Sus scrofa: one gene and its partner. The protein of the gene in region 1 interacts with the protein of each later gene in a pairwise test. Links are inferred from orthologs where the notes say so. Each region holds a gene or a part of one and is shown on either strand. Other genes may lie near its edges.

Evidence for each region.
Region 2: the proteins of CASP10 (region 1) and RIOK3 interact in binary tests that used the Homo sapiens proteins (3 or more experiments, as listed by UniProt). The link is inferred for Sus scrofa from reciprocal best matches to the Homo sapiens genes CASP10 and RIOK3.

Annotation. Positions count from the first base shown.
Region 1 is NC_010457.5:104,867,974-104,871,792, forward strand, and holds part of CASP10 (caspase-10), read left to right. Parts: intron 1-1,390; coding exon 1,391-1,526; intron 1,527-3,819. UniProt on the Homo sapiens protein: Involved in the activation cascade of caspases responsible for apoptosis execution. Recruited to both Fas- and TNFR-1 receptors in a FADD dependent manner. May participate in the granzyme B apoptotic pathways.
Region 2 is NC_010448.4:108,337,668-108,342,020, reverse strand, and holds the start of RIOK3 (serine/threonine-protein kinase RIO3), read right to left. Parts: upstream 3,036-4,353; 5' UTR 2,858-3,035; coding exon 2,795-2,857; intron 1-2,794.

The DNA of each region.
Region 1 (3,819 bases):
ATCTGGCGTTGTGGTGTAGGACGCAGACATGGCTTGGCTGTGGCTGTGGTGTAGGCCAGTAGCTGCAGCTCCGATTCAACCCCTAGCCTGGAAATGTCCATATCCCTCAGGTGCAGCCCTAAAAACAAAAACAAAAATACCCCAAATCTGTTCATGTCATTGTTTTCCTTAAAAATTCCTCCTGGCACCCCTTCATCCATGGGACACTTGCCCAAGCCCTTTGGTGTTCCTTGATGGTCTGATACCAGCCTATCATTCCAGCTGTGACCTGGCTTTCACTCAGTTTGTCCTCTGGCCTCCTTCTCAATATTCCTTAATATTCCTGTCCCTTTCAACCACTCAACGTGCTCCTGCCCCTTGTTCCCACCCTGCTGATATTTATTGCATGTGCAGTTTGATTGTGTTAAGATGTTCGCTTTCCGATTCTTTGCTGTGGGCTCTAACCCAGTGTTATTCATATGCTTTTCATAACCAGATTAATATATCAATCGAGAAGCCCTTATTGCTGAAAAGATTGTGGTGCCTTCCACACCATTTGTACTTCAAAATTAAAATAATCCTAGCCCTTTTGCAATTTTCCCCAGGAGTGCTTGAGTAATATTTTTTTCTTTTAAAATGCCGAATACAAAATTCTCTCGAAACGTTTTTCTTCTCAGTTCTTTGGTGGCCCTGTTTTGCTGCCAGCCTCTCATTTATGGCTGGGAATGAGAGGCAGTGTGCTCAATGGTTAATGAGATGGACTTTGGCATCAGTCTGCCAGTGTTCAAATAAATACCAGCTCTGCCACGTATTGGCCCTGGACAAGTTGCGGAACTTCTCTGTGCCTAGTTATTGTATCTTCAAAATGGGGATTATCATAATGTCTACCTCATTGGGTTTTATTTTTTATTTTTATTTTTGTCTTTTTCTGGGGCCACACCTGCGGCATATGGAGGTTCCCAGGCTAGGGGTCTAATTGGAGCTGTAGCTGCCGGCCTACGCCTGAGCCACAGCAATGCAGGATCCGAGCCGTGTCTGCAACCTACACCACAGCTCACGGCAATGCTGATCCTTAATCCACTGAGCGAGGCTAGGGATCGAACCTGCAATCTCAGGGTTCCTAGTCGGATTCGTTAACCACTGAGCCATGACGGGAACTCCCTCATTGGGTTTTAATACACGGCAAGCACCTCCTGGTAGTTAGTGAGTTACGTGTATTTGGCATCTGGTATTAATATAGACTGTATAGAGATTTACTTGGTAATGCCTCTTCCTCCATACCACTGATGTCCTCTTGGATAGACGCTCCACTTTATGCAAAACCTGGTGCCTAGTGGCCACACAGGTAATGTTTCTTAACGAATGGATAATCAGGAGGCAAGGAAATGTGACTTCACTGATTCTCTTACAGACCTCTCTAAGTTTGCTGTCATATCTGGAGAAACAAGATCAAATAGATGAAGATAATCTGACGTTACTGGAGGATGTCTGCAAAAAAATTGCACCTAACCTTATGAGAAAGATAGAAAAATATAAAAGAGAGAAAGGTAACTAGCTTGGCTTGCTTGCTTGCATCAGCCTGTGGGGATTCTTAAACCAGTTGGCTGTGTATGATGTTTGCTCATCAGTCGGAGAACATTCTCTTGGGAAAACCCAAAATCTCCCCAATTTTTCATTCCACGCATGTTTATCGAATGCATGCTTTGTACCAGGCATAATTTTAGAGGTTGGAGATACAGTAAGGTATAGAGCAGAGCTCCTACCCTCTTGGAGCTTTTATGCTGGGGTGGGTGGGGAGAAGTGGTTTGAGACACATGTCTTCTGATTTTTATATGAACGTGAGAGCGAAAAAAGTTGTTTTGCAGGCGATAACATAAAAAAGAAGGAGGCAGGATGGTGTGGGGATGAAGAGTGGGGTCTGTGGGGTCCATGAAGTCAGATTGCCTAGGACTCCACTTACTAATGGTCCCATGGCCCTTTCCTCAGCTGCTCTATGTCTCACTTTTCCCATCCGTCAAGTGGAGATAATAATAGTATCTATTTCATAATTTTTTGAGGGTTGAATGAGGTAATTCCTGTAAAATGTCTGTCTGGCACAGAGTCAGCCTTCAATACACATTGCTGTGAGAGGAAAGTCGTAAAAACACTCATACTCTCAGAAATTACTCTTAGAGAAGAATTTTCTTTCTGGTTTTGCTTTTAGTCTGTCCTGTAAGTGTGGTGGTGCTGTGGTATTATATAAAAGCCATACACGACAGACCTCAAACTTGGCTGCCTCCGCATGTGGCCATATGCTGATAAATATTGGTGTTTTTGAGTCCATGTCGTCACCCTTAAACAAGCTAAAAGCAGACACTCCTGGATGTGTTCATGAAGATTTTATGCTACACCCATATTTTAGTTCAGAGACGCAGTGTAATGTGCACATTTATCTGGTTGAAAACGCAACTAGCCAAAAAGGAAGCTTCTCTCTAAGAATACTGTTAACACAAAACATGTCGAGGAGCAAAAATAGACTGCTGTTAATTTGATAAAATGTCAAACAATAACCCAAGCATAAGGTATAGATAGCTTAGGTAAAAGTTATGAAGAATGAAAACAGCTCTTCTACGGACCAAGTTATCAAGTGAGAAATAAAAAGCAGGAAATATGGAAAGTATATTTTGAAACTCCAACCTGAACTCTGAACACTGAGATTTTTTTTTTTTTCTTCCTGATCACATTATCATTTTGCTGTAACGTAATCCTCCACACAAAGTGAGCAAAGGGCAGTTGGGCAGATTATTTTGAATATTTGAACTCTGGAGAAAATTCTCTATGTAGCAAATGCTTACACTCGCTTCAGTGAATCTTGCAAACTGAGCTTTATATCAGAAGAGGAATTCTACTTTTGATTTTTTTTTTCTGTACGCTACATGCGGTGTAATCTCTTTCGGCTGTTGAAAGAAAAAATTTTATTTTCCTTTATTGCTGCTCCCACCAACCCTTCTGGAACCCTTCTGACCCCAGATGTGAGTTTTTCTACCCCAAGCAATTCTCCAGCTCTCTGTGGACACAGCTGGGTGTCCTATGTTTTAATTTGGTTCTGACACGCACCAGAGTTCTTGCAGTTGCCACAAGTTAAGGGCTCTGTCCCCCAAGACTGCCCCCACCCCCATTTCAGAAGCCAGTCACAGTCCCCGGATTCCCCACAGCTTCGGCTCAACGTGGCTACAAACCAGGGGTTCTCAGGCTGCCCACCTCAGCTTTGATAATTTGCTAGAACAGCTCACAGAACTTAGAAAAAGTGTTCACTTTGGGTCATTGGTTTATTATAAAAGGACACGACTGGTTTATTATAAAAATATTAATGTTATATATAATATATACAAAATATATAATCATATATTGTACATTATACCTTATATAATTATAAGATGATGTACGTATATATAAAATATATAAAACTATTATAGACGGATTTATTATAACAGGATACAACTCAGGAACAGCCCTGTGGAAAGATGCATCAGGCACCGCCTGGGGAAGGAGCCACGCCTCCTCCAGGCAGGTCACCCTCCCAGCATCTCCATTTGCTCACCCACCCAGAAGCTCTCGAATCCCTTCCATTAGGGTTTTTTTTATTTGTTAAATAGGCACGATTGATGAAATCACTGACCATTAAGATGAATTCAACCTCCTGGCCCCGCCCCTTTCCAGAGTTCTGGGAGGAGGACTGAAAGTTGGGTCCCCTGGCAACCAGCCCCCCACCCGCGGCTGTCCAGGAGCTGCCCCCCACCCTAAGTCAGCTCTTTAGCCTAAAAAAGACACTCATTGCTTCAGAGATTCTACGGTTTTAGG
Region 2 (4,353 bases), on another chromosome or scaffold:
AACATTTAGTCATCATGTCTCCTTAGGCTCCTCTTGGCTGTGAATTTCTCAGATTTTCCTTTATCAACCCTGACAGTCTTAAAGAGTAACACTAATTCATTTGCTACAGCTTCTTCCAAAAGAGCTACACACTTCCTCATTTGTGCCTCCATTTGAAAATACGCCCTTCCTGGAATATTCCCTAAAATTCTTTTGTCCATAATGGCAGTTTGGAATTTTATAACTGGGGACCCCAAGTCCTTTTTAGGGTGTCTAAGAAGTCAAAATCACTTTCAGAATAGTTCTAAGATATTCTTCATCTTTTTCACTCTCGTTCTCTCAAGAGTATGGAGTTTTTCAGAGTCTCCATCAGATACGACGGCAGCCCTGTGGTGGCTACTAGAATGTGTGTATGTGTATTCTTATGTTTTCCAAAATTTTCAAAGGCCATAGGTTTAGGATATAAATGTGCATTTTTAGAGATTAACTCAGTTTGTTCTTAGTGTGTCTACCATGCTCTTATTCCCCATCTTCGATTACTTCAACTAATTTGACTTCTGTTGTACTGCAACAGACTGAAGAAAAAAAGAGCTATGAGAATCCAGCTGTCTTCTATTAAATCAGACCTTAAAGAGACTTGCAAAAACACAAGACACTAATTGTTTTGGAAAATAGCTTTTTTATAAAGTATAAAAATGTTATCTATATTAATATAATGACTTACATCACATAGTAAATATTTTCAATATCTCAGCTTTAATTTCTGATATGACAAATATCAATAGATTTAATCAACATAAAAAAAAAAAATCTTGGATTCCTCAATGGTTATTAAGAGTGAAAAGAAGTCCTGATGGAAAAGTTCTGAGAATTGCTGGCCTTTAACACTCCTTCATTTTCTAAGACGTTCCTCAAATCTCTACCTCCTCTACATATGCATCTATAATTACTTCAGTTTTCTAAGAAGTCAGAGAAGGAAAAGAGTAAGCGATACTTGTGGTGTTTTGCCTATGAAGATGCTGTCTTCCCAACAGAAGAGCAATAAATCCCAGGATGATTTTCACTGAAAGGTGAAAATGAAATTTTATAGTTCATATGATGTACACTTAAATGAAAATATCACTGATATCAAATATTTTATTACTAAATTAATTTTGTAAGGGAACTTTTACAGAAATTAGGCATTCTGAGCAAAGTTCATCTCACTTGACATTTGTACAAGCTTTACAGATGCTTAATTGAGGAATTTAATAAAGCACTGATTTCATCCTTTTATGTCTACTGATCTTGCCCCGGTAAACAAGGCCATAGTAGAAAAAAACACACAAAGTAACACATAAATGTACCCACATTTGTCACCAGAATATCTTAGAATCTCCCTAGGGTTGTAGGAGAACTTTCATAAAAATTTCCTTTACTGAACAGCTAATTTCCCCCCTCCCACTTTCTCTTAAGACCTAGTCCGAAGATCTAATAAGATTAACGAGTGACCCTTTAAAGAGAACAAATGTTCTGTGTTAGCATGTAAAGAAGTGAGTGAAATGGGTAAAAGTGGTCAATAGGTAGAAACTTTCAGTTACAAAATAGTCATGGGAGTGATGTACAGCATGGTGACTGTAATTAACTAACACTGTATCATATATTTGAAAGTTGGTGAGAGTAAACCTTTTTTTTTTGTCGGGCCGCTGCCGCGGCATATGGAGGTTCCCAGGCTAGAGATCTAATCGGAGCTGTAGCCACCGGCCTACGCCAGAGCCACAGCAACGCAGGATCCGAGCCGCGTCTGCAGCCTGCTCACCACAGCCCACCGCAACGCCGGATCCCCAACCCACTGAGCAAGGGCAGGGATCAAACCCACAACCTCATGGTTCCTAGTCGGATTCGTTAACCACTGCGCCACAACGGGAACTCCGTAAGAGTAAATCTTAAAAGTTCTTAACACGCACAAATTGAAACCCTGTATGTTGACTTATTGTGGTGAGCATTTTGCAATATATACATATATAAAATCATTATGCTGTACGCCTTAAACTAATATGTGGTTATACGTCCATTATTTTTAAAGGAACAACTATGAAGCTAAAAAGTTAGTTTCCTTCAGAATCTCTTTTGAGGAACACAAAATCTCAATTGAAGCACTTCAGCTTCCAAGCAAATCCTCTGAAAAGTGGCAATCTTTTCACCCTTGTAATGAAAGTATCCTGAAAAGCAGCAGCCTGAAACCAGTAATGTGAAATAAACATTTCAGTTGGCCATTACAGGAAAAGGCTTAAACGTTAAAGCCCAGGCAGATGTTAGAAATAACAGTCTTACAGTAGCAAAACACTTGATTAACCTAAAGAAGAGGGAGGGTGCGCCTGGATTGATCTCTTACTGCCTCAAAAACAAGAAACTGTCCAAACAGGATTACCACACTTGCCAAGCTAAGGAAACAGCTTCCTAAACCACCTTTCAGTTGGGCTTTCTGTGTATAATTGGGCTGACTCACTTGGCCCAAGAAAAACAAGTTCGTACTTGCTTTCCCTCACACGTCAGCGTCTCTAAGCGAGTCCTGCCCAAATATATGCTACAGAGGCTCAAAAATCAAGGTGCCGAACTAAAGAGAGACTCCAAACCTCCCAGGGTGGCCCTTGGCAGCCTGCGCCCCGTCCCTGCTCTTCCACTCCCACCCCCCTTTCCGAGGTGGCCCCGGTCCTGCCCAGAACTTTCCGAGTCGCCTGTGGGGCCGCCCCGGCGCCTGCCACCCTCTCCGGGCCCTCCGAGAGGACCAGCCCAGGTGACTAGGGCAGGCACGTCAGCCACGACCGCCCCTCACCTTGTTGGGTCCCCAGGCCGCTGCGGGCCCGGGCTCAGGGGATGCAACTCCGACCAGATCCATGTGAGGGAAGAAGACAGCGACGGAAACAGAGCAGAGAGGTGGCAGGACAGGGAAGCAGCTTCCGTCGAGGAGAGAGGCGGTGGGGCAGGGGCGACGGGCTGCTGACGCCGGAGCTGAGGTGACAGATGGCGGCGGCGGCCGCCGCGTCCGGAACTAGACCTCTTCTCTTCCGCCCTTTTCGCTGGAACGCTCGCTTCCGATTGGCCGCCGCCCGCGGCTCCGCCTTAGGTCACCTTTCCCCGCCCCCGGCGGGCCGCACTTCCAGTTGCTGCTCCCAACCGGGAGGTGGTGGTCACTGTCTTGGTTGCCCCGCGGAGCGGTGTCGGGCGTGGCTTCCTCTGGGCAGTCCATCCTGTGTCCTGGCTCGCCGAGGGGGCTTCTGGGTCTCATTAAACAAGATTTGGACTGTATGGACTATAAATAAACAAGCAAGCCAGCTCTCCATTCATTCATCATTTATTTCCCCCTGACTTTTTTTTTTTTTTTTTTTTTTTTTTTTTTTTGTCTTTTGTCTTTATAGGTCCCCACCTGAGGCATATGGATGTTCCCAGTCTAGGAGTCTAATCTGAGCTGTAGCTGCCGGCCTACGCCACAGCCACGCCAGATCGAAGCTGTATCTGCGACCTACACCACAGCTGAGGGTGTCTCCGGATCCCGAACCACTGAGCGAGACCATGGATCCAACCCGCAACCTCACGGTTCCTAGTCGGATTCGTGTCCGCGGTGCCACCAGAGGAACTCCTCCCGGGTGACCGCTAAACTGGGATGGTGTGGGAGACCTAGAATGGCAGGTTTAGAGATGGGAAACTGAAGAGGTCCGATTTTGTTTTTATTGTTGTCGGTAGGAGGCGGGGCGTGGCATGTCAAGTTTTGTAGTGTGTTGTGTAACATTGAAAAAAAATAGGACTACATAGAAGTTTTGAGTTGACATTTTGTAGCGAGATTTTCATAACATGGCAGGATAAAAGTAGCCAAACATTATTACATTTATTTCTTTTTTTTTTTTTTTTTTTTTGTCTTTTTGCCTTTTCTTGGGCCGCTCCCGCGGCATATGGAGTTTCCCAGGCTAGGGGTCTAATCGGAGCTGTAGCCACCCGCCTACGCCAGAGCCACAGCAACGTGGGATCCGAGCCGCGTCAGCAACCTACACCACAGCTCACGGCAACGCCGGATCCTTAACCCACTGAGCAAGGCCAGGAACCGAACCCACAACCTCATGGTTCCTAGTCAGATTCGTTAACCACTGCGCCACGACGGGAACTCCTGTGTCTCATTTATTATATCCAGGCAGTGCTCAAAGTACTGCAATAACACTTCTCAAAATAATTCTGAGAGATAAATTAAATCATTATCTCTGTTTTACTGATGATGAAACAGACACAAGAGAGGTAAAGTAACTTGCCCGGTGGTCTGTGGATGAAAATAATCAATAATCAACCTATAATAGTAGTACAAAAGAGATTTATTTGAGCCAAACCGAGGACTCTAGCACAGAA